7 linked regions of the Bombyx mori genome follow. The protein of the gene in region 5 binds, or shares a complex with, the protein of the main gene of each other region. Links are inferred from orthologs where the notes say so. Each region holds a gene or a part of one and is shown on either strand. Other genes may lie near its edges. The genes, in order: E3 ubiquitin-protein ligase RNF113A, pre-mRNA-splicing factor ATP-dependent RNA helicase DHX16, serine/arginine repetitive matrix protein 1, U5 small nuclear ribonucleoprotein 200 kDa helicase, splicing factor 3B subunit 2, pleiotropic regulator 1 and protein CWC15 homolog.

Region 1 (4,564 bases), on a different chromosome or scaffold from region 5:
ATTTTGGACAATACTACCTACTCATCAAAATTAATCACATTTTTACAAATCACGAAAGGCGAGTATGAAAAGTATTCTGGGCTCTTCAGAAAAATTATCTCTTATCATACTACATAATTAGTGATCATTCTTAAATGTTTTTTGTGGCAGCCATTAATGGTGTATACAAAATAATTTATCTATGCGAGCACACAATACCTATACACAATTATTATTTTTACAGTTTGCATTTTATTACACGATGTCATTCTTTTATTGTGTTTCATAAATGTGCACTTCTCATAACGGTCATCTAAGAAATACAAAACGGGGCCGCGTTGCAGAATACGGCAATATTAAGCCTGACAAGTGACAAGCAATCAGTGAGCGCTGTAACCTGTGACGTTTTAATACAAGGATCGATAAAACTAGACTGAGTTTTTTGTGCATTCCTTAAAATATCAAGTCGTCGTGCCCTAAAGGATAAATCGTCCGGTGCATTCGTGTTGAGCGATGCACCGGTGTTCGAATCCCGCAGGCGGGTACCAATTTTTCTAATGAAATACGTACTCAACAAATGTTCACGATTGTCTTCCACGGGGAAGGAATAACATCGTGTATTAAAAATCAAACCCACAAAATTATAATTTGCGTAATCACTGGTGGTAGAACCTCTCGTGAGTCCGCAAGGGCAGATACCACCACCCTGCCTATTTCCGCCGTGAAGCAGTAATGCGTTTCGGTTCGAAGCGTGGGGTAGCCGTTGTAACTATACTGAGACCTTAGAACTTATATCTCAAGATGGGTGGCGCATTTACGTTGTAGATGTCTATGGGCTCCAGTAACCACTGAACATCAGGTGCGCTGTGAGCTCGTCCATCCATCTAAGCAATAAAAAAAAAATTACACCCTAAACCTTTTAGCATTCAATATTTCCAGTTTGTATGGTAAATTATGATTCCACTTCCACTTTATTTCAAGGCAGCTAATGACTTTATTAATTTATCTATTTATTATTACTATAAAAGAGACATGAACATCGTGATAAGAATAGTGTTTATTATGTCCATTACAATGTTTGAGTTTTAACTCTGGTTTCAACTTTTAACAGTAGTAGTAGAAAGGGCTTAAGTGTGAAAAAAAAAAGAATTCCTCAATGTGGCTGTGTGGCTGCTCGGGTCCCTTCCAAATTGCCTAGAAGCCTCAATAAGTCTCCGCTAATTTACTGACAGGCTATTTTATTTCATCTTATACAACATGTACGGCTTTCTCTTATTTAACCTTATTATTCCATATGCTAATTTAAGTTTTGATTTAACTTCAGGCATTGCTATAAATGTTTAAGCTATGTTGTATGGGCAGTATTCCCTCCATTCAATAGACAAATCATAGTTTAAAAAAACAACTATCCGTCAAAATCAATCACATGTCAATGTTAAAAATGAGCATTATTTTGATCATTGCCAATATTATCATGTTGTGAAATGCAAAAATTAATTAAAAACCCTATAAATACCGACAATACTTGAAGGTCCTAAAGTGAAATACAGTACTTTTATTTAGTATTATTGTGTCCTCATTAATGATTATGTAGATATTACTCTAATATCGTAGTAAGCACACACTAGGTTGAATAAACAATCGTTCAAAATGTCAGACGCCGAAGTGGAAGTACTCAGTACTTTTAAAAAACGTAATATTAAGAATAGGGGTGGCAGAAAACGTAAAACTTCCAGTTCAGAAGGTAATATTGATCGTTAAGTTATTAAATTATTCTCCAAACGAAAGACATCTAAGAATAGTACATTAAAACTATCTCATCGCTTCTTCATATCCTCTTTCTCACTGTTCCCAGACCCCCGTATTATAAGTGCTTTTATTAAGTGTATAACTACTAACTATAAAATTATAATTATATGTAGCGCATTATTCTCTGTACATAATCTTTATTATAATATGTAAGTTTGTAGTAACATTAATTTTGTGTTAGTCCCAGGCACCATTAATATAGCCAAAATTGGATACTTTTTATAATATAAAGTGTGTTTAAATAGCTCGACAATGTTCCATATGTAGCCATAACACGACACTGGCAGAAATTGCTGGCAGAAACTATCGGCAGATTACCATTATAAAAAAAATATATCGACGCTTGAAAGGCAAAAGTGACTAAGCGACAATAACTGCTTTGCACATAAATGATAGGCAATAACCATATTCGATCCGCAAAAAATATATATTTCTAGGTCTATTAAAATTATTTCAATCCTACAGCTACTAGCTAGTTTCTACTACAACTGGATTCGTTAAAATAAATTTTGTTTTCATGTATTTCAACTTTAAATTAGTCTACCGTAAAGTTCACGCATTGTCGCTTAGTCACGTTTGCCTTTCAAGTGTCGATATATATTTTATCATATGAGGCCGTCAGCGCAAAAGCAGCCTAAGCGTACTATAGTTATTATGGAGCAATGAGGCTTTAGTTTTCATGAATTTGAATTTGAGTTGGCAAAAAAAACAATATGCGCTAAAATAATGATTACAAAGCCATCTGCTTTCTATGGGTGAAACTATGGATAGGCCGGTTTTGCATAAAAATTTATTATATATTAAATAAATTGCAATATACATGATTATAAGCATGAAAAATTGTGGGTTAGGCCACTTTTGCGCTGACAGCCTCATATATACTTGATATTTTTTTTTTTTATAAATATAAATATTTACTAACAATCACTCCACGTTAACTGGTCCCGTGCTAAGTTCGTAAAGAACTTGTGTTACAAGTACCAGATAACGGAAATAAATATAATATTTTTATTATACACATATATATATATATATATATATATATTTAATATACACCCATAACCCTGGAAAGACATTTATATTTATCATACAAATATCTTCCCTTGGCGGGATTCGAACCTGCGACCCCCTTGTGTAGTGACCATGTCACTTACCACTACACCAGACGGCTGCTTAATATATAATTTAATATAGTAACGTTTCAGAGAAAAACAGCTCGGACTCTGATGAGCAACAAGTAGTTCTACCAACGAAAAGGGTGAACAAACCAAATCCAAACATACAGTCTACAGGAGGTCCGAAGAAATCCAAAATTGATGTAATTGAAGATAATGATGATAGTAATGATGAAGAAAAGGTATAGTAACATTAACAGCTCATCATCATCATCAACTCACTTGGATATCATCAGATTTGATAATCTGATCTATAATGAGATCTGCACCTTTGAAGCACCAGATATAAGATATCATAAACAGGCTGTTGGTCCATCTTGTAGAAGGCCTACCCACACTTCAAATCTTCACATACTTCATACATATTTAGATATATAATAGCCACTTGAGAACTTTTGGTTCCAACAGCCTGCTTGCTGCCATTTCAGCCTTTCGGGTTGTCTTTTTTTATTCCTTAAGTTCTTAAGTGGTTACAGGAGCCCATAGACATCTACAAAGTAAATGCCGCCATGCATCTTGAGATATTTGTTAGTGTCTCAGTTATATCTCCACTGAAATCAATATTATCAACAATTAGAGCAGTTTATCTTTACTTAAATCTGGCACACATCTTTTTATCTCTTTAATCTTTTTACACGTCATCTTTATGTTGAAGTCTTGTCTTCTGTATTGAACATAAAAAAAAACCGTTTTAAGATCCATTTAGATCAACATAAGCTTACAATTCTTTCAGACTTCTCAAAGGACAACACTATCGGTTCAACAACAGAGAGAGAATGCAACAGCTACCTATGAATTAGACACAGAAAAGGATAGAGATGCCCAAGCCATCTTTGAGAAGGCTCAGAAGATCAATGAAGAGTTGCACGGACAAGCAGATGATAAGGTATCCATTTCTTCTTCTTCTTCTTCTTCTTTGTCGTTTCCTCATTACTGAGGATCGTGACCACCTTGGTCCAGTTTTTGCACCAGCTTCCTCCAATGTTGCCTGAGGGAGAATGCGGGAGGGACAGCGTAACCGCTCTAATGTTAAAGAGCCTAGGCTCGGATGGTACCAAGATTTTACACTCCATTTGCCAGAAAATATGGCGTACTGGCCAGTGGCCTGAAGACTGGACGGAATCAATGTTAATTCCTCTCCATAAAAAAGGCTCCACGCGCAAATGTGAGAACTACAGGTATCCATTTAACAGTATTGAAATCGCACACTTCGTGGTTACTTTAGTGACAGTTAGCTTATAATTTTTTATATGGTTAATACTTATCAACCATACCGTACTAACTTCCATACCAACTTCTGCATATCTTAATAAATTATAATAAAATATGTGTGTAATTAAGTTGGTTCTTATTGAGTGCCTCCTCAAACCTGGCTAGTCAACAAAGTGTAAATGTCTGTAATGCTACACTGGAACTTAGTAATACTAATAAAGTTATAAATTATTGGTCCTGTTTCGTAGATGTATGCAAATCTAGTATATAAAAAAACCTAAGGAAGGCATATGTCAGAGTATCATTAACTTAAGACTCACTTCTTATCTCATACACAATAAAGTGTAGAAGGTCCATTAATATTTATTATAAAATTCCAGATATATCGT
Region 2 (3,989 bases), on a different chromosome or scaffold from region 5:
AAAAATCAAACCCGCAAATATTTATGATTTTCGTAATGACTAAAATTGAGAAATAGACAAAGTTTCCAGGGAGGTTCCGGCGTTCATGATGTGTTTTGTCTAGACTTCGGTATAGATGAACCGTGAGCACATTTGCCATAAAACAAACGTGTCTTGAAATATCTGCGACATCATTTTAAATTTTAACAAATTATAGATGATTTTATCATAAAGAATTACCAACATTGGTTCTACATTTAAATCACAAGGAAGTGTAAAAAAAGTGGAATGTCGTGTTATGAAAACCGAAGAACAGGATCAACAATAAACGGAGAAAGTGGAAACTTTTATTGAATCTACTGTAATCAAATTTTTACTAATTTTTTGCAGATTTCCCCAATGTTTTGGGCATTTTCTTATTTGTTGAATCTTCTAATTCCTTTGATTTGTAATAATGAGGCGCTACCTCCAGTAGCCATTTGCTCTCAATTTCGGTGACTTGTCTCATAAATTCTTTAGATGTAAATACAAGCTCATGGTAAATCACCCATCGTGGAAGGTCTTCAAATAGAGCACTATTAGGATGTATCATAACTGTCTGAAAGCAATAAATATATTTGGATAGATTTATAAGAAAAAGAAAAAAACATTATTTTAACTATCAAGATTTTAAGTTTCGTTACCTGATTATGTTTTACAGTTTTATAATGACCACCTTTTGAAAATTTTGCTATATGATAGAAATAACCAGACGTTATAGCCTTTCTTATATTAGTATCATCAGATAAACTTGTAACCATTTCAATTTCTACCCTTTCCATCAGGCTGACTAATTGTTCACGAACATCTCGAGCTCGTTTCATCGATCTATACTGCACGAAGTTTTCATAACACCACTGCACCGAATAATCTGAAGCAACCCACTGATTGTATAAGTTCATAATTGTCAGATGATCTCCTTTGTGATGAAAGAAATTTTTTCTTGCTGTATCTGCATGGATTATTTTATCTTTAGGCCGGTAGAAGACGGAGCTATTTACTGATAGCATTGCTGCAATTGTGACAACCTCTTCAGAACATTTATATCTGTAAGACAAGAAAAATGTGAGAATTAAAGTGATTTTGAGACAATCTGAACTGCTTTTAATTAGAGGGTATGAGTGGACGCGTTCGCATTTATCAGCTACTAACTACTTCTTCACCCACAATCTGTAAGTCTGTAGTATAAAGTGTGGAATAAAAGTTTTGTTGATTTGATTGTGTTGTACATTAGTTATAATAAAATTATCGATATCTCCACAACAGCTCTATCACTAGTCATTATACAAATTTATAAAATTTACCAGGTTATTACACAATGTAAATCCTTCATTCCAGATGCGAATGTTGAGATAGATGTGTGGAGTGACAAGAATGGATAAGATGAGGAATAAGTATATCAGAGGAAGTATGAAAGTAACCCCGGTAATTAACAAATTAAAAAGCGGATAGTTAGCGTGGTATGGACGTGTGATGCGTAGAGAGAAGATGCATGTGACTAGGAGATGTACGGAATTGGTAGTGCAAGGTAGAGAGGAAAGAGGTCGATCGAAGAAGACGGATGGAGTGTGTGAATGACGATATGAGAGAGAGAGAGAGTAGTGAGTGTTGAGCTGTTGGCTGATAGTAAGATGCAGAAAAAGAAGAAGTTAATCCTTCATTATGAAAGTTAGTTATGAGAGAATGACTTATGTTTACATTACTTACTTTTCACTAGCTAACAACATTTTCGCGAGCATGGGGTCGGTAGGAAATTCAGCCATCCTTCTGCCTGCTTTTGTTAACTCTCCATGATGATTAAGTGCACCCAGAGCGTAAAGTTGTTCTAAAGCCAAAACTAATGTTTCATGCGGTGGTGGATCCAAAAAATCAAAATGTATTAGATCATTGATGCCTAAAGCTTTTAAAGTGAGAACTGCATTTCCTAAATTTATTCTCTGAATTTCTGGTACAGTATTATCTTCTAATTCATATTTATATGCCCAGGCTGTGTACAATCTAAAACATTTTCCAGGAGCAACCCTTCCGGCTCGTCCAGCTCGTTGATTTGCTGATGCTTTAGAAATGGGAACAACAATTAAACTTTCCATGCCAGTCTTGGAATTGAAGTTGTTTTGTTTGGCAAAACCTGGGTCTATTACGTATATAATATTATCAATTGTCAATGAAGTTTCAGCTATATTTGTAGCAAGAACGACTTTTCTAGCTCCTTCAGGAGTTTGTTCAAAGATTTTAGCTTGCATGTCACTAGGCAAATTGGCATATACTGGTAATATTAAAAGCTCGCGCAGTTTTTTGCCTATACGCTTCGTCCTTTCTTGTAACATTTCAACACATGTTTCAATCTCTTCTTGTCCTGTTAAAAAAACCAATATATCACCAAGAGGTTGTGTGGCATGAATCTGTAATACTGATACAACACAAGCATCTACATAATCTGCTTCGGGTGCCTTTGTGTAATAGATGTCCACAGGAAATCTCCTTCCCGGGATTCTAAAAATTGGGGCATCTTCAAAGAATGTTGAAAATTTCTCAGCATCCAATGTTGCGCTGGATATAAGCAATTTTAAATCAGGTCTAAATCTGGTTATATCTTTTACAAGACCAAATAATATATCTGTATGTAAGGTACGTTCATGAGCTTCATCAATGATCATTACACTGTATGAGGCTAGATCAGGTTCTGATAGAAACTCTCTATGAAGAGTTCCATCTGTCATGTACTTTATTACTGTTCTATCAGATGTGCAATCTTCAAATCTTATACTATAACCAACTTCATTTCCCAGTTTTACGTTCATTTCTTGTGCAACTCTTGCAGCAACTGACATAGCAGCTACTCTCCTAGGTTGTGTACACCCAATTTTTTTCCCATCTTTAGTGAAACCAGCTTCATGGAGATATTGAGGTATTTGTGTTGTTTTGCCAGATCCTGTCTCACCTTCTACAATTAGAATTTGATAATTTTGTATGGCTTCAATAAGTGATTGTTTAAACGCATATATTGGAAGTGATTTTTTTGTTTCTTCAATGGTCATTCGAATTTTTTGATATTCTGATATTTCTGACTTTTCCTTTTTGTCTTCAGAACCTTCCATTTTAAGAGCCTGTATGAAATCAATTTGTTCATCCAGTAATAAATCATATTCATTTGTAGCTTTAGCATCTTTTGCACCAAATTTAAAGAAAGCAGATTTAATTTGTTCTTGTTCCCATTTTTGCTGTTCAGAATGTGGCAACCTCTCATTTTCATCAACTTCAACATATTCACCTGTAATATACAATTAGTAGGTTATATACAAGATGTACAAGCAAATAATTTATTACTGATTACAATTTTTTAATTATTTTCTTTTGTTTTGTTGATTTGTAAATTTTGAAATTTTAAAATGAAAGTATTGGATGAGAAATAAACAATATAGAAATTTAAGACCAAACTGAATATTTGAAACTTCACAATTAAACTCTATATGATTTACCAAACAACATCATTAATAAAATGAAAATATTTCAGAAATTTTGTTCATAGCTTGAAAAACTTTTTGTCCATAATTTAAACCTTCATTTTATTAACGTCAGCTAAGTTTTTTTCATCCCATAATTTGAAATACATAATTAAATATTTTACATAATTAAATTTCTCTTAAGGTTTGAAGCTTTGTTTAGTTCTTCATTTGAAAGGTTTCTTTGTAATTTTGGATAATTACCTTTTTCCCCTTTCCCCAAGTCCCGAGGCATATGATATCTTTGAACATTTTCTAACTCTCTTGCTTTTTCATGTTCTTTAGCTAATTGTAATAAAGTTTTCTTGTGTTCCCTTTCTTCTTTTTCTCTTTTTGTTAGGCTATAAAGACAAATGATATGACACATTTTAAACTATTAATTTTGTTTTAACCAAATGCACTTTATAATAATAATCTTAAAATAAGTTATTTATAATTAAAATTTAAGTATTTTGTTTGGCTGTAATT
Region 3 (3,989 bases), on a different chromosome or scaffold from region 5:
AAAGACGTGGTGCTCCAGGGGATGGAATTGTTTATTCCCTCCTCTGAAGTGCCCGTTGGGGGTCGCAGCAGACCCTGGTATAACAATGCCAGCAGGGATGCTGCACACCTCAAGCGGTCCGCATACGTGGCATGGGATAATGCCAGGAGACGTCGGGATCCTAACATCTCAGGGGAAAGGCGGAAATATAACGCCGCTTCCAGGTCCTACAAGAAGGTAATTGCCAAGGCGAAGTCGGAGCACGTTGCTAGAGTTGGCGAGCGATTGAAGAGCTATCCCTCCGGGAGCCGTGCTTTTTGGTCGCTCGCCAAAGCTGCAGAAGGAAACTTTTGCAGGTCTAGTCTCCCACCACTGCGCAAGTCCGATGACAATCTGGCCCACAGCGCGAAAGAGAAGGCTGACCTTCTGGTCAAACTCTTCGCCTCGAACTCGACTATGGACGACGGGGGTGCCACACCACCGAGCATCCCCTGGTGTGATAGCTCCCTGCCGGATATCTGCTTCACACAGTGTGCAGTCAGGCGGGAGCTCCGACTCCTGGACGTTCATAAGTCGAGTGGGCCAGACGGCATCCCCGCAGTGGTTTTGAAAACGTGCGCCCCTGAGCTGACACCTGCGCTAACGCGTTTGTATCGCCTCTCTTATTGCACTAACAAGGTTCCGTCTTCATGGAAGACTGCTCATGTCCACCCTATCCCCAAGAAGGGTGACCGGTCGGACCCATCGAGCTACAGGCCTATCGCGATAACTTCCTTGCTTTCCAAGGTGATGGAGCGAATTATAAATACACAACTCCTGAAGTATCTTGAAGATCGCCAGCTGATCAGTGACCGACAGTACGGTTTCCGTCACGGTCGCTCAGCTGGCGATCTTCTTGTATACCTTACTCACAGGTGGGCTGAAGCCTTGGAGAGCAAGGGCGAGGCTCTCGCTGTGAGCCTTGATATCGCGAAGGCCTTCGACAGGGTCTGGCATAGGGCACTTCTATCGAAGTTACCATCTTACGGAATCCCCGAGGGTCTCTGCAAGTGGATCGCTAGCTTTTTGGATGGGCGGAGCATCACGGTCGTTGTAGACGGTGACTGTTCTGATACCATGACCATTAACGCTGGCGTTCCACAAGGTTCGGTGCTCTCCCCCACGCTTTTCATCCTGTATATCAATGACATGCTGTCTATTGATGGCATGCATTGCTATGCAGATGATAGCACGGGGGATGCGCGATATATCGGCCATCAGAGTCTCTCTCGGAGCGTGGTGCAAGAGAGACGATCAAAACTTGTGTCTGAAGTGGAGAACTCTCTGGGGCGAGTCTCCGAATGGGGTGAATTGAACTTGGTTCAATTCAACCCGATAAAGACACAAGTTTGCGCGTTCACTGCGAAGAAGGACCCCTTTGTCATGGCGCCGCAATTCCAAGGAGTATCCCTGCAACCTTCCGAGAGTATCGGGATACTTGGGGTCGACATTTCGAGCGATGTCCAGTTTCGGAGTCATTTGGAAGGCAAAGCCAAGTTGGCGTCCAAAATGCTGGGAGTCCTCAACAGAGCGAAGCGGTACTTCACGCCTGGACAAAGACTTTTGCTTTATAAAGCACAAGTCCGGCCTCGCGTGGAGTACTGCTCTCATCTCTGGGCCGGGGCTCCCAAATACCAGCTTCTTCCATTTGACTCCATACAGAGGAGGGCCGTTCGGATTGTCGATAATCCCATTCTCTCGGTTCGTTTGGAGCCTCTGGGTTTGCGGAGGGACTTCGGTTCCCTCTGTATTTTATACCGTATGTTCCATGGGGAGTGCTCTGAGGAATTGTTCGAGATGATACCAGCATCTCGTTTTTACCATCGCACCGCCCGCCACCGGAGTAGAGTTCATCCATACTACCTGGAGCCGCTGCGGTCATCCACAGTGCGTTTCCAGAGATCTTTTTTGCCACGTACCATCCGGCTATGGAATGAGCTCCCCTCCGCGGTGTTTCCCGAGCGCTATGACATGTCCTTCTTCAAACGAGGCTTGTGGAGAGTATTAAGCGGTAGGCAGCGGCTTGGCTCTGCCCCTGGCATTGCTGAAGTCCATGGGCGACGGTAACCACTCACCATCAGGTGGGCCGTATGCCCGTCTGCCTACAAAGGCAATAAAAAAAAAAAAAAAAAAAAAAAAAAAGTCTCAATTTTGTTATAATATACAATTTCGTTATAATATATGAACACAGTAAATATGAGTCGCCAAGAGTAATTGCATTGTATAACATCAATCCAACCCTTCAAACTGAAACGCAGGACTAGTTTGCCGCACAAATACACCGAATGGTGGTATCTACCCGTGCGGGCTTACAATACGCCCCATAACCAGTTAACAAAAGATAATGTAGACATTTTACTTCGCAACGATAACAGAAGCAAAATCTTACAATACAATCATATTTAAGTGAAAACAACACACCAACAAGTTTATTATGTTAACATTATCACTATCATTGTATTTTTATTTACGTCTACATTAACAGTACCTTTGGTTTCCGGTTCAGTTTTCGCAGGGCTGACCTTGTCTCTGATCGGGCTGCTGCGCCGTCTCGATCGACGCGGACTTCCGCCGTTACGATGCCTAGAGTAATTTTAATGGTCATTATCTTATGTCTAACTAGCTATCATCCTCAGCTACACGCTCCACATTTCGTACCTTTTTTTTCCTGTCTAAGCTGATGACCTTCAGAGACCAGCGTAACCTTAACAAGTAGGTGAGCTCACGGGGTCTCAAACCTAACCCTAGTAAGAGCAGTGCTTCGCAGAAACTATCACCGGATCGGAAACGCGACCCGCTGAGAAGATCCGGCGAGAAACCCAGTGAGCTGTGTCTATGGGTTAATTTACTCGCCGAGCCCTTCGTCGCAAGCGACGGGTTAGACGATGACAGGTGCTTGAAGTACCTAAAAGCTCCGTTAGTAGAACGGGATGATCCGACATGACGTGTTTTGGGCGACGATTTTGTACCACGTTGGGGGTGGTGACTCATACTCAGCAATGAGATAGATCAATGGTAGCTCTTTAACCATTTCCCAGGTTAAAACTAAAATTATGATTTTGACAGTTTTTTTTCTTATTAAATTATACATACGAATATATTTTGCTATTTAACAATTAACAGTACAAGAACACAATTTAAAAAATATTTGTAATTATCGTAACTAATTAGCAACACGCAATTTTAATAAAACAATATATACTACTACTACTCCTAATTAATCAGTTGACTGGCGATAAATAAATGTAATTCCGAATGTGCACAACCAACAGAAAATAGTCACATGGTGATTCTACTGCTCTTCAGTAGTAACCCCTTTTATATTCTATTTTACTCCATGAATAGACTAACTCGAATTTTACTAATTTAATATATGTATGACAGACAACCTTTACATTCTCAAAAATATATTCCAAATGCTTACTCCTTATCACTATGTGGGCATAGTGATAAACGGCGACTGTTACTCTGTTAATGATTTTAAGCGTTTAATTTCAGAGGATCCGCTATTCAACTAAGCACACTATTGTTTTGTATTATTAAATGGGCAGCATAGTATTAAGTATCCATGTGCAATCCACCCCTACTACCACCAGCAATGGATGCTGCTACCTGGAAAATATACGTCTACTACTAACTTTCTGTCACTGGAACGATCACGAGAACGAGTTCGCGAGCGCCGTCGGTCGCGAGAGCGGCGCCGGGAACGCGACCGGGACCTCGATCTCCGTCGCTCCTTGTCTTTGTCCTTGTTCTGCTGCTCCTCCTATTTCACGTAATGTGTTTTCATTTTACAACCAAAGTATTAATTTTCTTACTTATTCTCATAATGGTAAAGTGGTGGATATTATACATTTTGATCATCCAAAAGTACATGACTGTCTGTATTGGATTATATGCTCAAATAAATATTTACTATATGGGACAATTAATAAAATTTATGAAATTTGCTACTTCAATGTTAGTCAATA
Region 4 (3,989 bases), on a different chromosome or scaffold from region 5:
GTTTAAATGTGTAATAACGGTGGTTTATTAACTGTTTAGTATATGAAAGTGAAAGATGCTCATATGTGGGAAAATAAAACAAAGCTGCTGGATGTAACTTCTCGGGATCCTCCAAAAAGTCTACTGACAAAATCTCAGTAAATGACCACCATTTTACTGAGATTATATTTCATCCCATATCATCTCATTTCATTTAATTTCATCCCGGTTGATTAATATCTCAAATTAATCATCTTCATTTCATTTCACTCCATGTTATCATTTTTCATATAAAAATAAGAATATAAATTAAAATAAGACATGACCTAAAGGAATTAGTTACCAGGTCATAAAATCACTTAAAAAACAAAAGATTCTATACTAGCGTTTTTCATTTATGCCTTAGACCAGGGGTTCCCAAATTTATTTTCTCTACTGCCCTACTTTGAGAATAAATTATTTTTTTGCGCCCCCATTATTTCACCTACTTAAAAACCACTATAGCGATAGCTCAGTCCTGCTAGATTATAAGTTACAAATCGCTTCCCAAGCCTCTATATAACGCCCCCATTTTTTTTTCTGGGTCTCTTACCGCCCCCCTTTAGGCCTGCAGCGCCCACGAGGGGGCGTTTACGCCCACTTTGGAAAAGGCTGCCTTAGACGGTGTTGTCACTAATTTGCAGGCACCTGTCGGACCACCTCTCCGAGCTGGTGGAGACTACGCTGACGGATCTTGAGCAGTCCAAGTGCATCGCGATAGAGGATGAAATGGATGTCCAGCCACTGAACTTGGGGATGATAGCCTCATACTACTATATCAACTATACGACCATAGGTAACCTGGGCTTCTTTTTTTTAACTGTTTAAATGGGTGGACGAGCCCACCTGGTGTTAAGTGGTTACTGGAGCCCATAGACATCTACAACGTTAATGCGCCACCGATCTTGAGATATAGGTTCTAAAGTCTTAATATAGTTACAACGGCTACCCCACCCTTTAAACCGAAACGCATTACTGCTTCACGGCAGAAATAGGCGGGGTAGTGGTACCTACTCGCGCGGACTCACAAGAGGTCCTACCACCAGTAGAAACTCCTTCTCTCGGGACTGTTCCTCCACCTAGAGCCGGATCCGCTGGTGTATCGTATATGAAAGGCTCATGAGGGATCAGTCTTGCTTCGAACAGCCTTATAGCATCTTGGGAAGACGGGAGTTGATCATAGCGTTCCCACAAATATTGTATCAAGTCTTGAGTGAATTTTATTTATAAATTTTCTTAGACTTCAAGGCGATGATTTAAAAAAAATGTTATTTCTTTCAGAACTGTTTAGTTTGTCTCTGACGAGCAAAACGAAGATCCGCGGCCTGCTCGAGATAATATCGTCGGCGGCCGAGTACTCGGACCTCTGCATCCGACACCGGGAGGAGAACATCATCAAATCTCTCGCCTCCAAGTGAGTACACGTTCGGTTTGTTCGTCATCTTCATGTCATTCTTCAAACGCAGCGGTCGGGGGGAACCGGGGTGAATTACCCCCAAATGGGGTAAAATGAAATTTGAGGGGGGTAAAAATAAAATAAATAAATATTTAATAACAATCACGCCACGTTAACTGGTCCCGTGCTAAGTTCGTAAAGAACTTGTGTTACAGGTGCCAGATAACGGAAATAAATGTAAGATTTTTATTATACACATACATATATTTAATATACATCCATAACCCTGGAAAAGACATTTATAGTATTTATCATACAAAATATCTTCCTTTGGCGGGATTCGAACCCGCGACCCTCTTGTGTAGTGACCATGTCACTTACCACTACACCAGACGACCGTTTGAAACTTTTGTGAGTAAAAAGTATATACCTATCATCATTCTACTTATGCAACAAAGTGTGGAGGCAGGGAATCTGTAAATTATGCCACATGTTTAAATTTAGGTATTATTAGATTATTTTTTTATAGATTAGTTTATATTATTTTAGTTTTAGAAGTTTAGTTTATTATTTTATAGATTAGATTAGTTTATAGATTAAGAGTCATTCCCGATCCTGCGGACAGAATGGAAAGCAGTCGACGTCGCCCAAAACACGTCATCTCGGATCCTCCCGATCCACTAACAGTGCTGTTAGGTACAATACCACAAGCACCGGTCCCGGTCGAACCCGTCGCTTGCGACCAAGGGCTCGACGAGTAAATTAACTCTCAGACACAGCCCACTGAGTTTCTCGCCGGATCTTCTCAGTGGGTCACGTTTCCGATCCGGTGGTAGATTCTGCGAAGCACGGCTCTTGCTAAGGTTCGTGTTAGCATCGTCGTGAGGCTTGAGCCCCGCGAGCTCACCTACAAACGTTAGGGCGAAGCTGAAATAGCCTCTCAAGGCTATCAGCATAGGTAGGCAAAAAAAAAAAATTAAGATTACAGGCAGCGGCAGAATAACAGCGATAGTTTCAGCTATCACAAAGCTGAGCCGCGCCCTTTTTATCTCCACTGTCAGTTTAATTAATATATTGTAATATTGTTTAGATAGAATTAGAAATTGATGTCATATAAATTGAAAAGTTATTTGTATTGTGGAGTAAATAAATGTAATTATTATTATTATTATTATATTGAAGTGAAACTTCTTTAGAATCGTCAAATTTTTACTTATTGTTTTCTTTTCAAAATTATCATGGGGGGCTATAATATGAAAGAGGCTAAAAAGAAGCGATTTCGTTTTTTTTGTTTTTTTGTTCTTCACCATGGGGTAATTAATATCAAATTACACAAAAATATTTTGGGGTAACAATTAAAAAAGTTCCCTGACCGCTGTTCAAATGAGATGGAGGGTACTCACTCGGCATTGCTGTCGATGATCGAAGGCTACCTACAACAGACCTGTGAGATCAATATTTTTTCCTGTGAGATCATTATTATTTATTTTTCATTTTTTAGTTGAATTTTAATCTTTTTTTTAATATTGAATTGTCATCGGTCCTTAATAAGTATACCAAATTTCGAGTTAATCCGACGTTATGAAGGGGGGTCAAAATCATGTTTAAAGATTCCGTTACAAACACACATACGTCTGAAGCTAATAAAAGCGTATGAAAAAAAACGTGTGCAATTCACACGTGTAAGAAGTGAAACCTTCAAAAATTAAAATATTCTAAATATTCTAAAATGTCTAAGTATATGTAAAATTTTGTTAGTTGTTTTTTTAGTTAAAATTTCGTTAGTAAATAATTGTAAATCATCTTTTATAGTATGAGGTAGTGCCCTCTGTGAATTGATATTATAACTTCACGTCTAATGTGTTCTATCTCGTTCTCTCGCCGGCTGAATCGTATACATTTATTTGTTTGTGTCTCTATGGACTTATTTTTTCGTTTCATCGAGTTTCAAATCACGACGATTCTAAAGAAGTTTCACTTCAAAATAAGGATGGAGTCGAAAAGTTTTCCTACGTTTGCCGCTAGGGGCGCTGTTCTAACTGCATACAAAATTAAGTTAACTTTTACGCTATCGAGAACATTGACGCACTCGCACTGAGCATCCCCCCCCCTGTCCCCGTCCGTTGCAGGGTCCCGCACAAGCCGACGGCCCCGTCTGGCGGCGCCGTGCGGCACAACGACCCGCACGTGAAGGCGCACGTGCTGCTCCAGGCGCACCTCTCCAGGATGCAACTACCCGCCGAGCTGCAGGCCGACACCGCGCTCGTGCTCACCAAGGTACGATCTTTGCACTCTCTTTTAACCCTTCGACTGCCATGTATTAAAGGTCCAGAGCGCCCTAGGCAATCACTTTATCTGCGCCCCTGTACCGGCCATAAATGGCCACCATAATAGTGTAAATATAAAAATGAATTGCTGTTCGTTAGTCTCGCTAAAATTCGAGAACGGCTCGACCGATTGGGCTAATTTTGGTCTTGAATTGTTTGTGGAAATCCAGAGAAGGTTTAAAAGGAAGATAGATAAATATGAGAATGCTTGGAATTAAATAAAAATAACAATTTTGTTTTTATTTTGA
Region 5 (3,989 bases):
GCTCTCGGTATGCCCGTCGGGCCCGGCTCACAGAAGGTATCGTTAACGTGAACATGTCAATGATGTTGTCGGATTGTTGTGGATTTTTGTTTAAAGGATTTTATGACGTGGGTGGGTACTAAGACCTTTAGGTTATGTCTTATTTTAATTTATATTCTTATTTTTATGAAAAATGATAATATAGAGTGAAATGAAATAAAGATGATTGATTTGAGACGTAAAAAAAACTGGGATGAAATAAAATTAAATGAGGTGAAATATAATCTCTCTTTTGAAGTCGTCGTGGCCTAACGGATAAGACGTTCGGTGCATTCGTGTTGAGCGATGAACCGATGTTCGAATCTCAGGCGAGTACCAATTTTTCTAATGAAATACGTACTCAACAAATGTTCACGATTGACTTCCACGGTGAAGGAATAATATCGTGTAATAAAAATGAAACCCGCAACGGCTTTGTTTCATTTTCCTACATTTGTGCACTTTCACATATATTAAACAGTTAATAAACTACTGTTATTACACATTTAAACATGAAGAAACACTAAATAGACAAAATAAAACAAAACACACAACTTCACTCCTCGCGTTCCCGCCAAAAAGTCTCGATTGTTGTGGATAACATCTTATTTCATAATACGCGCGATTGTGGAGACCATTTCAACATATTAGCTGGCTGCAACGTCTAGGCAGTACCAATCGGAACCTATTATCGCTTCGTAGCAGAAATAGACAGGGTGATGGTACACGTCTGTGAAAGGTTAAAATTCTCGGAAAGTTGTTCTATGTTAATTGACACAGTTACTCGAAATATAGTATATAAAACAGATTTTTTTTCATCATCATCATCATCATCATCAACAGCCCACAGTCGTCCACTGCTGGACATAGGCCTCTCCCAATCTACACCACTGAGCCCGGTCGGCGGCTCTCCTCATCCACTTCTCAGATTTTTTTATTCAAATGTAATTAATAATTCCCCTGGTTGATTTATTCGAATCTAAATGGTACTAAGTTAATTGAAATAGTACAATAAATTTCCCAGTAACAAATTTAATATTTCTGAAGTGAAAACATTACATAGCTATGTAATAAATATTTTAATTTTAAAACATTTTTATATTTAACTAGGTGTACCCGTCCGCTACGCTGGGCATTTAAAATTAACATTACTATTTCTCACCCCCACAAAGATTCTCATCATTAACGCCCCCGCAACTGGTGTAGGGAGTCCAATACTCATATAAATATTAGCCTATCCATTAAGTACATGTATTGTCTACATGGATACCAAGTTTCATGTCGATCGGATGCATGGTTCAGTAGTTATAACGGAACATCCGTAAAAACCACTGTAGATTTATATATTAGTATAGATTATTAAATACAATATTTGCTAACGAAGGACATTAAATGTATTTTTATAGGTACCACCGCCGTGGTTGATCGCGCAGCAGCGGTACGGGCCGCCGCCCTCGTACCCGAACCTCAAGATCCCCGGCCTCAACGCGCCCATACCCGAGGGGTGCGCCTTCGGCTACCACGCCGGGGGGTGGGGCAAACCGCCCGTCGACGAAATGGGAAAACCGCTCTACGGAGATGTCTTCGGACATCAGACGAGTGGACAAGATGTGAGTTGGACTTTGTCATACTTTTTTTTTTAATCCTCCTTTGCTGATAGCCTTGAGAGGCTATATCAGCGTCGCCTTAACTAGTAGGTGAGCTCACGGGGCTCAAACCTGATGAATTTTGTTATACTACGTTGCGGATGAAATATTAATGTCGTGTGGCAATGATAATAAGGCTCAAACTCTTGCAACATATCCGTAGAAACTTTGACTTTTTCAAAGATGATTCCTTTTTTTTTCATTTCTTTCCCCTATTAAATATTACAATAAACTCATATTAAATGTTCTGTGCAAATCTCTGAATAATTTTCTGAATTAATCTCATAATTGTCAACATCACATAATAATTAATTGACCGTCTATCTCATATTAAATGGTTACCAGAACCTGTAGATATCATAACGAGAATTCTCCTACCCCCTTTGCGTACATACAAGACTAAAGTCTCAATCATGTGATACCTCATATTGCAAATTGAAATGCACAAATGAATTATCTCATAATAAGTACATAATGTTAATGTAATTTATTGTTTAATCTTAATTCTCTAGGACGGCGAAGACGTGGACATCGACAGGACAATGTGGGGCGAACTGGAGTCTGAATCAGAAGAAGAGTCGGAGGAGGGTCAGTATTTGGGTGCTCTTTTTTTCTTTGATTGCACGTATGCGGATCCCTCGGAATGATTTGCAAATATTGCACTAATAATAAATTAATATTCAACCCTTACAACCCTTATCGAGGGGCGAAAGGTTATTTGCTTCAAGCGACATTTCGCAAATTTACAGGAGAGCCATTTAAAGTTTTAAACTGGGAAAAGATATCATAAAAAATCAAGCTTTTTCAGCTATTTGAATGGAGTAAACTTAATTGAAGTCCAAAACATCGAACTGTTGATGCTAATATCAAATAAAACGCATCTTTAATTGCAAAGATAAATGAGTCGACTATTATCAAAGCCGGCAATCTGACTTTTGGATAATTATTGGTAAATCAGAAAAACGAATTATTGACTTTGTATTCCATTGGCAGTCACAAAACTCTTCAGAAAGACATCTTAGATAAATAACAGGTTAACTATTAACCTTTATTTAATGCAGGTTTTGAACCGTATTCTTTGAAGGAGACGATTATATTCAAATCAATCTGTATTGACATATCAATAATTTTTTTTTGTCCAAATGCACAGATTGCCACCTTTGATAATAGACGACTCAAATGTCGCTTACACCAAATAGCCTTTTACCCTTCAAGGTGGGCTCCCGGCCCGTCGAACGTGGCAATCCATAGCATATCACATAGATCCCGCCGGCGACACGACCGCCGGTCCGGCGTCTGGGGTACGGCGGGATGGATGTAATCTGTTATGCGTAAACCCTGTCCCGCCGTCTCAATAACTCCAACTGGGCTCCGGCCTGGTCCGAGGTAGGGCGCCGGCTGTGAGCGGCAGGAGTTTTTAGTGAGGTTCAACTCCCACATAACCCACCCGCTGCGCGGATGGGGATCCGGCGATTTTCTCCTGTGGAAAAAAGCCTTTGATATGTAAATAATAAGAAAATACGTTTTAAAATTTCGTTAATTTTTCACGAATTCATACAATTAATGTAAATCTATTTCTTTCTTCCCGATCCGGAGTACTACGACTTTGAACCGAAATCATTAATATTTTTTTTAAGTGATTTTATGACCTGGTAACTAAGACCTTTAAGTCATAAAGTTATTAATTCATTGTTAGTGCGATATTTGAAAATAATTCCGCATGGCGATTAATCTGTCAAAGTCGAATAACATTGCAATGAAAATGGTGAAAATTTCGTCTTGAATGTATGCTGTATACAGAGGAATCGGGCGAGGAGGGCGAGGCAGAGATGGGCGGGGTCGGCACTCCCGCGGAGGGACTCGCCACGCCGCTCGGACTCAGCTCCGTGCCGCCCGGACTCGAGACTCCCGACAGCATTGAACTCAGGAAAAAGAAATTGGACTCCGATCTTGACGGGTAATTCGTTTTGAGTAAATTCGCAATTTTGGCGGGAATGCGAGGAGTGAAGTTGTGTGATTTGCTTTATTTTGTCTATTTAGTGTTTCTTCGGGTTTAAACGTGTCATAACGGTGGTTTATTAACTGTTTAGTATCTGTAAAAGTGCACTAATCTGGGAAAATGAAACAAAGCTGCTAAACGTATCTCGGGATCCTCCAAAAAGTCCACTGAAAAAGTCTCAGTAAACGACCACCATTTTACTGAGATTATATTTCATCCCATATCATCTCATCTAATTTCATTTCATGCCAATTGATTAAGTTTCCTTCGTTTTTTATTATTCATAAACTGTAAATAATTAAAACGACTAATTATAAAAATCTTAG
Region 6 (4,526 bases), on a different chromosome or scaffold from region 5:
GCCATATAACGGTACCATTTATGGAAGCCACGAGTAGGTATCTAATTACTTAATCTAATTCGGTTTTCAGGGCTCGTGGTGGCTGCAAAAGCGGTACAGCGAAAGCCAGTGGCTCCAACGCATTATACGGTGGCCCGGCTCTGGATTCACGAGTGCTGTGGGCGGCCCTCACGCCGAGAGGCACGAGACACTTTGTCGCCGACACTTACCCGCACGACGATACGGAGGACCACCACTACGAGTGCGTCGAACCCCCTCTCTACAAACTCGGCCCACCCGAAGACTTGGCCATCACCCGTCACTTCAATGTTGAATACGAAGACCCGGCGCCCCTGATAGAAAATTACAGCGATAGAGCTGAGGACTACTTCCGTAACGGTATCGAGACGCTGCGCAGAACGAGACCGCTCGTGTCATCGCCAACCAGGATCGAACGCCCCAACTTGCCTCCTCTGAACCTTCAGCCGAGGACGCTGCGCCGCGCGCCCCACTCCCGCCGCGTTAGCGACGCTAATAATCCAGAGAAATCGGCCATCTGAACCGAGAGTGGCGCGGTATTCTCCGTCGCCGATACAACTGAAATCGATTACGATTGGCAGTCGATTGAAAATTCGAACGTTGACCGTCTCGTTTAACAACCGTACTATTGACTCTTGTTTCACTGAGTGTAATGCTTTTTTAGTTTTGAAAAATCGTCGTCGAAATTTCTGGTAGTTCAGTGATTAACATTCGTTCATAAATACTAAAATGCTCTTTTACGGTAATTGTGTGTTTATGTAAATATTGTGTATGCACTTATTAAGTATTCCAAGTCTGTGTGTTGAACAGTACAATGTGCTTAGTACCATTTGTATGGAGTTGGAACAGCGCCTTTAGCGGCAAACGCAGAGTAACTGCCCCAGCTCCATACAATTTTGAGTAACTTTTACACGATCGAGAAGTTAAAACAACTCGCACCAGGCACACTGTACAATGTAAATAATACTTTGGAGGATGTTTATTGTATGTAATTTAACATAACAAATAGCTATCATTAAATCAATAAATATTCGAAAACTAGTGAGCAGCTGTATCTAGTCTAGTTTCTAGTCTGTAAGCACAATTTCTAGTCATGTTCGTACCTACTTGTGAATTTAGAGGTAAATATAGATATAGTCCACTGTGTATTTTATTGAAAATCAATTCCACAATTTTCTTCGCAATGAATTTTTATGCTCGAATTTTGTACTTATGAATAAAATCGACGTTGTGTAAACAGTGTTTTTTTCATTTCTAGGAGCAAACTCTAATTAAATTATTGATAAAATTCTGAGCCAAATCCGTACTTTCTATCCGTCACAACAAGCATAAACAACAAACAATAAATTTTTTCTTCAAATACCCTTTAGTATTTCAGCTCAATAAGAGGAATTTAAAATGTTTGTTTTAAAACAATTAAAATGGTAATTTCAAAAAATCATAATAATTATGTTTGTTGCAGGCTAATCGAGATTTGCATTCATTTGCCCAAATTTTTTATTATCTGTACAGTGACACTTGACAGTGACGCTGCTCATACCGTCCATTTGACGTTTGTTTGACGTAGGATTTATTTTGTAGGAAAGTTGTTGCTGTTTGTTGTCGGGTATTTCTTGGTCTCGACACCGTTAAAACCAAAAAGCTTTTCGTAAGAATCATAAGGAATATGCATTAATTAAAAATAAAATTGAATTTAAATGCTGATTTAATATTACAAGTTAATAGTATTTCGTATTCTTTAAGTAATTTTAGACATTAATTAATAACTTCATAATGTCTGAGGACGTGATTAAACATTCTGTACACACTTTAGTGTTTCGATCGTTGAAAAGATCGCACGATATGTTCCTAGCTAATCAAGGAATGTTGCCGCCAATCGACGATAAAGCGTAAGTAAAACAGAATAATATTATTTGAGGTTAGTTTAATACAAGTCCTAATGGAAATAATCGATGAGCTATTTCAAAGATCGGTACAATAGACAAACTAAGCGATTTGTTGTTCCGTATCAAAAAATTTCTGCTAAACCTTTAAAACTTTCTACTGTACTGGAGAAAACCTTTATGGGAGCAGACAATGTTGTCAAGGTAAATAAATTAGAGGAAAATGTCACGTTATGTATAACTACATAAAACACTAGAGTAGATAATTATTATTTATAATTTTACATTAACAGAGAGAAAGTACTGAAATTGGTTAAAGCAAGAGATAGTTACGGACAAGTCATGGGTGCAGTGCGGAAGGCTCAGGCCCTGAAACAACAAGAGTCTGTCACCTGTAGACCTGAAACTCCACTGACCACAGGTAAAAACAATTAACAAACTCCTATATACGGTTAAGCGCTTAGGCTCAGGATAAATAAAACTTCCACTGAAGTACATATTAAAACTCTATTTAAAACTAAGAACACTTACCAAACACTTTACAATTCGTAATTCACTTCTTCCGCTTCGCTTCAGGTGATCCGTTTGCTGTTTCGCTTTGAGTAGATCCTTTTAATAACTGCTTTCATGTCATCTCTGCAACGCTTTTATAGTCAATACGATATCTCTACAAAAATCGAGAACATTCCAGAAATATGGATCAAATACAGAAACAAAAAAAAAATTATTCATTTTTATGGAATTTTTTTTACAACAAAGTTGCATTTTCGTTATGATAAAAAAACAGCAAGAATTTAGCTGTGGACCTCATGAGTTCTATGCTCATTACATTCAATAAAAAATCGGTCCAATACTCCTTGATATTGCAATGAAATAAATCGAATGTTTTCTTTAGCAGAAACAGTGGAAACTGCACCTTTGCCGTCGGAAGGGGCTGTTGTCCCATACTCTGGACCAACACCTTCACCGTCACCAGCTCCCCCCTCGGGGGCTTTAACTGTACCACGGAAACCGCCGTCTATGCCCAAACCAAAATGGCACCCACCCTGGAAATTAATGCGTGTTATATCAGGTCATCTGGGTTGGGTTCGATGTGTTGCTGTAGAACCTGGAAATGAGTGGTTTGCTACCGGTAAGTAAAATTATAGAAACCACATACAGAGCAAACTAATGGCATCTAATATGCCAACATTTAACTAATATATTTAATCCTTTTAGTATAAATTAGAAGAAGGATATGTGGTAAGAATTATAATTACAAATTTGTCAATCTTAAAAATTTTATTAATATAAAGTTTGATTTTTACATATTAAATATACTTATTTATAAGACTTTTTTATCAATACAACACAAAACATAAACTTTGACAGTTAGATAATCAATATATTGTATTTGTGTAGACAAGCTGTTGTCCTATGAACGGTTGAAAAAATAAACTTGATTTATGATTAAAGTTACTTCATTTTTCTGTTATAATGAACTTTTAGCACAACCATTACAATAAAACCAATCCTAAGGAATTAATCTGCATGATGGTTTTGATATTTCAGGTGCCGCTGACAGAGTGATAAAAGTATGGGATTTAGCAAGTGGGAAACTAAAAGTATCTCTCACTGGACATGTGAGTACAGTAAGAGGTAGGTGCGCACACTTTTTGTATTCATGCAAAAATCAATGCTTGGTTTTCAGATTTTGAATAATGAACGCATTTTTCTTTTATTGCCCAGACAAGCACACTGCCCACCTGATGGTGAGTGGTTACCGTCGCCCAGGAACTTCAGTAATGCCATGGGCTTAGCCAAGCCGCTGCCTACTAAATTAGTAATTTTTTTAGCATCATCAGCCTGCGGCAGTCTGCTGCTGGACATAAGCCTCCCCAAAGCTCGCCACTAAACCCAATCTTCGGTTCCTTAATTAATTTAGTAATTTTTTATTTTAGTAATAGTAGACATTTTTAATTTTTTCAAACTTTTGCTGCTATGTATATTACAGAATTACATAACAAGTTCTGATCATAATTTTCACATTAACACAGTTCTGGATATTTCATCATGTTGTACGCACAGAGACCGTAGGTTGAGTCTATGTTAATTGTGAAAATCATGATCTAAGAATCCATCAAGTACCAGTATGTGTAATATGAATATATTCTATTTCAGGAGTGGTAGTGTCACCAAGACATCCATATTTATTCAGCTGCGGTGAGGACAGACAGGTGAAGTGCTGGGACTTAGAATATAACAAAGTGAGTTATTGACCTATAAATAACAAAAAAATATAGGTTAAATGATATGTCTTTAAATATATGTAAAGAAAACTTTTATTATTTAAAACTATTTAGATTTTAAAAAGGATTTTTCTTCAGTGTTATTCAGTGTCATGGAGTGAAGTGAAAAAGAGAGTTCAGTTTTGTATAGTTTATTATTAATAATATGTACTGTTTACTCTTTAATTGAGGTTAAGGGCTTTATATGTTGCTTTCTTACTATATCACAGAAACCACAACTAATTCATTATTGTTTATTCATTCTGAAATACTCCATATAATTATATGTATATAAAGCAGATGAATTTTTGTATTTAGGATCGGTTCGTTGTGTGTGCAGGTGATCCGGCAGTACCAC
Region 7 (4,153 bases), on a different chromosome or scaffold from region 5:
CATTGTCAATGTAAAGTCCGGAAAGTATGGCATCGGTGACCACAGTAAACAATGCAAAACACGCACACACCAACTGCACAAAACCAGCCATATTCGTTGTGAGAGCGTCTGCGACTGGCTAGTGGCGAGTTAACGAGATGTGAGACGCGTCATGGCCAGCCGCGGGATCTAGCTGTGGACCTGCCCACTCAAGGTAGGCCGCCGCCGCCTGCTCCGCACTTACCACTGCCTCCCCTCTCACGCCTCACTCACAACGCCGCAATAATAAAAACATTCAACTTCGCCGGACACGTCAGTCTGGTCAGTCCGAACTCCGAATGTTAATAAGTTAATTTAATAATTATTTATTACTACCATTAACAATGCAGTTATGTACTTTAACGGGTGGCGTATTGATTATCAAATCGGGGCAGTAAGTTTGAATTTTTTGTAAATTAATCTCTTTAATACCTTCCCTAATTTAGTTTGGATACCCCAACTACCAAGATTTTTACCACTGAAACTCAGAAGTTGAGTCTCAAATTTCGAACCCGAAAGCAATGTTCGTTGTTATATGAGTAAATTAGACACATTATGCTAATGAACTGACCTCTATCTGTTGTTGAGGAAACAAACATTACTTTTTATCAGTAACGTGACATTAACTTGAAAATAAACTTTATAAAATACTATTTGTTTTCATATAATTTATTCAAAACAACAAAATGACATTTTTTTCATAATATTTACTAAAATTATATTGGTTTTCGTCAATCTTTTCTTTACGTGTTTGTAATATCCATAGTAGCATTTCCACTTCGTTATCACTATTCCGCTTACAATAAGGTATAGAATCGCTTTTAACAACTTTAAATTTAGAATTACAATATCAATAATGATTTACTATTTCACGTACTTTTCCATAAATTTCTTATGGAACTCTGATCTTAATGAGTCATTTATAAAAGTATTAGGTTTCTTTTCCGGTTCAGAACGAGCGCAATTTTTGAAAACAACGTCATCATCCCATCTTCTTTTTACCTGGAACAACCCAAAAAAAATATAGATATAATATTACGATTGTCCTTTTTTTTTATTTGCATAAATGGGTGTACGAGCTCACAGCCCACCTGGTGTTAAGTTGTTATTGCAGCCCATAGACATCTACGACGTAAATGCGCCACCCACCTTGAGATATAAGTTCTCAGGTCTCAAGTATAGTTACAACGGCTGCCCCGCCCTTCAAACCGGAATGCATTACTGCTTCACGGCAGAAATAGGCTAGGGGATGGTACCTACCCGCGCGTACTCACAAGAGATCCTACCACAAGTCGTTACGCAAATTAAAATTTGCAGGTTTGATTTTTATTACACGATGTTATTCCTTCACCGTGGAAGTCAATCGAGAATATTTATTGAGTACGTATTTCATTAGAAAAATTGGTACCCGCCTGGGATTCGAACACCGGTGCATCGCTCAACATGAATGCACCGAATGAGTTATCCTTTAGGCCACGACGACTTCTTAAATTCTTCTTAATCGACCCTCATAGATGAAGGTTGTGACTCTCATAACTCAGTCAGTCTCTCTCTAATGATATCATGTAGAGGCCTAATGACGAGTTGTGCTGAGTGGTGCCTCTGGGCGTTCCAATACCGGATTCATCCAATGCTTGAGCAGATTATGTTAATGTTCTTAAAATCACTTTCAATTACTTTTGCATTTTTGTATGGTATTTATTAGTGGGTGTACAAAATCACAGTCCCTGTGGTGTCAAAACAGCAACCAGTGTTTATAGAACCGAAAATGTAAAATAATGAATCAACCAAAGTCTAAATGAAATTATTTAATAGTCTTGAATCCTCAATATCTGCCGCTACATATGCATAATGAAAGGAAAAATAATTTTTTTGTGCATTATTAAAGTATTCCCTGTGGAGTATCAATGATATTGATTCAAATACAAGTAAACCGAAAACAATAGCAACAATACGTTTTAATAGTTATTTTTATAGCATAGATAGGTGAACAAACTTATGGCCAACCTGGTATAAAAGGGTTATCTGGTAGTTGTCAGTATACTTCACCAATGAGATATCAAAACAGATACTGATTGAATATTATTTGCACATGTTTCAATACACATCATATTATTATCATATGGCAAGGATATCTAAAATACCAATACACAACAAAAGCTCTGAATAATTATAATCTAAGTGAGACCCAAGTTTATAACCACTTAACACCAAAAAGACAATGCTAGACATACTTGGAAGAATGAAAAATAATATCTTGAAACAGATTTGAAAAGTACCATAGTGTACCAGAACAGAAACATACAACACATACATAAACATACAAACACATAAATATGCCATAAAAAAAGTAAAACACAGATAGTATTGTTACTATGGAATAACAAAATAACAAAAACAAAACACCAGCAAAACAACAAATGCCAATTAAAAGATGCATTTAAATTATTTATCAAGATAATCCTGGTCAATGTGTAATTTAATAATGTAGTATCATGAAACTGACTAGCCAGAATGAAGAACTTGTACTACAACAAATGAATACCTACCCACTGCAGAAACTAAAGGTCATCTACACTTTTTTTATTCCTTTGATGGGTGAATTAAGTTCATGGCCCATAGAAATCGACATCTTAAATGTTGTCACCCACTATGAGACATGAGTTCTAAATATCAGATTTTATACCAAACGAAAACACATTACTACCCCATTCTACTGCCATTCATTAAGCAAATTATAATTTTGGTGGGTTCGATCTTTATTAAACACTATTTGTTCATGATGGAAATCATTTGTCAATTTACGTTAAGTATATATTTCATTACCATTGGTACCTGTCTGCAGGATGAGAGCACCGGCACAGTCACATAGCTTTATACAAATGCACCGGGAGTCTTTATCTTTTAGGGCACAATTACTTCAACATTGATAAATACAACATCAATGACATCTGCAGTTCAGTTCAATCACCAAACAGTTATCAGGAGTTAAAACAAAATTCATTTTAATGTTTTTAATTACCTTCATGTCATTCTTCTGTCCTGCAGCGGAGTAGTTGAGTAAAGGATTACCCGATAATATGTTCTCCATTCTAATTCTTTCCTCTTCTTGTTTCTTTTCAGCTTCCTATAAGGTAAAACAAAATTGATTTGTGCAACAAGGTTTATTTGTTATTTGAATTTTATTTAGTTTGGGTATCAAAATACACTAAAGTACACTAAAGTTAGACAAATTAAAAAAAATATATATTGTAAAATTTAATTTAAACATACTTTGTGTACATCAGTACAAAAATAGTCTTATAGTATAGTATCTAACTCTAGTATCTAAGATATATCTTACTTTTTTAGCTTGTTCAATGGCCCTTTCCTTCTTAATTCTGTTTAATTCTGCTAGCAATGCAGCAGTATCATCATCTGAATCATCAGAGTCAGTGGAATCGCCTTCAAGAGGATCATCAGCATCAAGACTTGCTGCAGGAACTTGATCAACCTTAGTTCTTTTTGCTTGTGGTTCACTTGTACGTTTTGTAGTCGTAGTTTTAACATCTTTTTCTCTATCATCCAACTCCTTACGAAAATCACGAGAGCGTAATTCCTCAGATGTCCCTTGACCTGATTCCCTATTAAAATAGATTTTAATATTTGACTTTTTCTTTACATTTTGGTGCATTACAAACGTGGTATTTATGCTTTGAACGAGTTATACATTGTGGTTTTGAAGGGTAGCGTATTTTCTAAAACAATAATTCAAGTACTCTACCTTGTCTCAAGATGGCTTTTTATGAGGTCCGTTAAGCACTTACCACCACGCGGGTCGTAAGTCCAACTTCGCGAATAGGAATCCAAATTTAGATCGAGAAATAAAACTAAACTAACCTGTATTTAAGTTTCGTATGACCAGGAAGATCTCTGCTGGAATACTGTCGAGAAATAGCACTTAAGTCTTTCTCTCCTCGGCCTTGACCACCTCTTGCAGGATCAAAAGTGGGTCTAGCAGCTGTAGTCATAATGAACGCTGGTGCTGACTTGATGAACGGTGATTTTATGTCTTGCTATTGTGCTTGTATACATTCAAAAAACTCTAGATGATGTCAGAGACATTTAGCATAACAGTAGGTAGGTTTGTAAACAT

Evidence for each region.
Region 1: splicing factor 3B subunit 2 (region 5) and E3 ubiquitin-protein ligase RNF113A share a complex: the UniProt entries of both Homo sapiens proteins name them as parts of the minor spliceosome. The link is inferred for Bombyx mori from reciprocal best matches to the Homo sapiens genes SF3B2 and RNF113A.
Region 2: splicing factor 3B subunit 2 (region 5) and pre-mRNA-splicing factor ATP-dependent RNA helicase DHX16 share a complex: the UniProt entries of both Homo sapiens proteins name them as parts of the minor spliceosome. The link is inferred for Bombyx mori from reciprocal best matches to the Homo sapiens genes SF3B2 and DHX16.
Region 3: splicing factor 3B subunit 2 (region 5) and serine/arginine repetitive matrix protein 1 share a complex: the UniProt entries of both Homo sapiens proteins name them as parts of the minor spliceosome. The link is inferred for Bombyx mori from reciprocal best matches to the Homo sapiens genes SF3B2 and SRRM1.
Region 4: splicing factor 3B subunit 2 (region 5) and U5 small nuclear ribonucleoprotein 200 kDa helicase share a complex: the UniProt entries of both Homo sapiens proteins name them as parts of the minor spliceosome. The link is inferred for Bombyx mori from reciprocal best matches to the Homo sapiens genes SF3B2 and SNRNP200.
Region 6: splicing factor 3B subunit 2 (region 5) and pleiotropic regulator 1 share a complex: the UniProt entries of both Homo sapiens proteins name them as parts of the minor spliceosome. The link is inferred for Bombyx mori from reciprocal best matches to the Homo sapiens genes SF3B2 and PLRG1.
Region 7: splicing factor 3B subunit 2 (region 5) and protein CWC15 homolog share a complex: the UniProt entries of both Homo sapiens proteins name them as parts of the minor spliceosome. The link is inferred for Bombyx mori from reciprocal best matches to the Homo sapiens genes SF3B2 and CWC15.

What each region holds. Positions count from the first base shown.
Region 1 is NC_085108.1:7,585,840-7,590,403, forward strand, and holds the start of E3 ubiquitin-protein ligase RNF113A, read left to right. Parts: upstream 1-1,379; 5' UTR 1,380-1,629; coding exon 1,630-1,723; intron 1,724-2,993; coding exon 2,994-3,145; intron 3,146-3,696; coding exon 3,697-3,849; intron 3,850-4,555; coding exon 4,556-4,564. UniProt on the Homo sapiens protein: Required for pre-mRNA splicing as component of the spliceosome. As a component of the minor spliceosome, involved in the splicing of U12-type introns in pre-mRNAs. E3 ubiquitin-protein ligase that catalyzes the transfer of ubiquitin onto target proteins.
Region 2 is NC_085110.1:11,481,795-11,485,783, forward strand, and holds part of pre-mRNA-splicing factor ATP-dependent RNA helicase DHX16, read right to left. Parts: intron 3,863-3,989; coding exon 3,726-3,862; intron 3,290-3,725; coding exon 1,726-3,289; intron 1,066-1,725; coding exon 663-1,065; intron 578-662; coding exon 356-577; 3' UTR 1-355. UniProt on the Homo sapiens protein: Required for pre-mRNA splicing as a component of the spliceosome. Contributes to pre-mRNA splicing after spliceosome formation and prior to the first transesterification reaction.
Region 3 is NC_085128.1:8,257,859-8,261,847, reverse strand, and holds part of serine/arginine repetitive matrix protein 1, read right to left. Parts: intron 3,785-3,989; coding exon 3,657-3,784; intron 2,602-3,656; coding exon 2,507-2,601; intron 1-2,506. UniProt on the Homo sapiens protein: Part of pre- and post-splicing multiprotein mRNP complexes. As a component of the minor spliceosome, involved in the splicing of U12-type introns in pre-mRNAs. Involved in numerous pre-mRNA processing events.
Region 4 is NC_085130.1:11,240,226-11,244,214, forward strand, and holds part of U5 small nuclear ribonucleoprotein 200 kDa helicase, read left to right. Parts: intron 1-662; coding exon 663-814; intron 815-1,299; coding exon 1,300-1,432; intron 1,433-3,543; coding exon 3,544-3,691; intron 3,692-3,989. UniProt on the Homo sapiens protein: Catalyzes the ATP-dependent unwinding of U4/U6 RNA duplices, an essential step in the assembly of a catalytically active spliceosome. Plays a role in pre-mRNA splicing as a core component of precatalytic, catalytic and postcatalytic spliceosomal complexes.
Region 5 is NC_085131.1:3,909,825-3,913,813, forward strand, and holds part of splicing factor 3B subunit 2, read left to right. Parts: coding exon 1-36; intron 37-1,424; coding exon 1,425-1,628; intron 1,629-2,176; coding exon 2,177-2,252; intron 2,253-3,464; coding exon 3,465-3,621; intron 3,622-3,989. UniProt on the Homo sapiens protein: Component of the 17S U2 SnRNP complex of the spliceosome, a large ribonucleoprotein complex that removes introns from transcribed pre-mRNAs.
Region 6 is NC_085129.1:1,617,364-1,621,889, reverse strand, and holds the start of pleiotropic regulator 1, read left to right. Parts: upstream 1-1,562; 5' UTR 1,563-1,791; coding exon 1,792-1,907; intron 1,908-2,194; coding exon 2,195-2,322; intron 2,323-2,796; coding exon 2,797-3,033; intron 3,034-3,452; coding exon 3,453-3,539; intron 3,540-4,061; coding exon 4,062-4,147; intron 4,148-4,508; coding exon 4,509-4,526. Other genes in the region: uncharacterized protein LOC101740918, read left to right, coding at 71-539. UniProt on the Homo sapiens protein: Involved in pre-mRNA splicing as component of the spliceosome. Component of the PRP19-CDC5L complex that forms an integral part of the spliceosome and is required for activating pre-mRNA splicing.
Region 7 is NC_085110.1:8,228,443-8,232,595, forward strand, and holds the end of protein CWC15 homolog, read right to left. Parts: 5' UTR 4,029-4,153; coding exon 3,898-4,028; intron 3,642-3,897; coding exon 3,362-3,641; intron 3,146-3,361; coding exon 3,041-3,145; intron 1,021-3,040; coding exon 883-1,020; 3' UTR 672-882; downstream 1-671. Other genes in the region: protein 60A, read right to left, coding at 1-91. UniProt on the Homo sapiens protein: Involved in pre-mRNA splicing as component of the spliceosome. Component of the PRP19-CDC5L complex that forms an integral part of the spliceosome and is required for activating pre-mRNA splicing.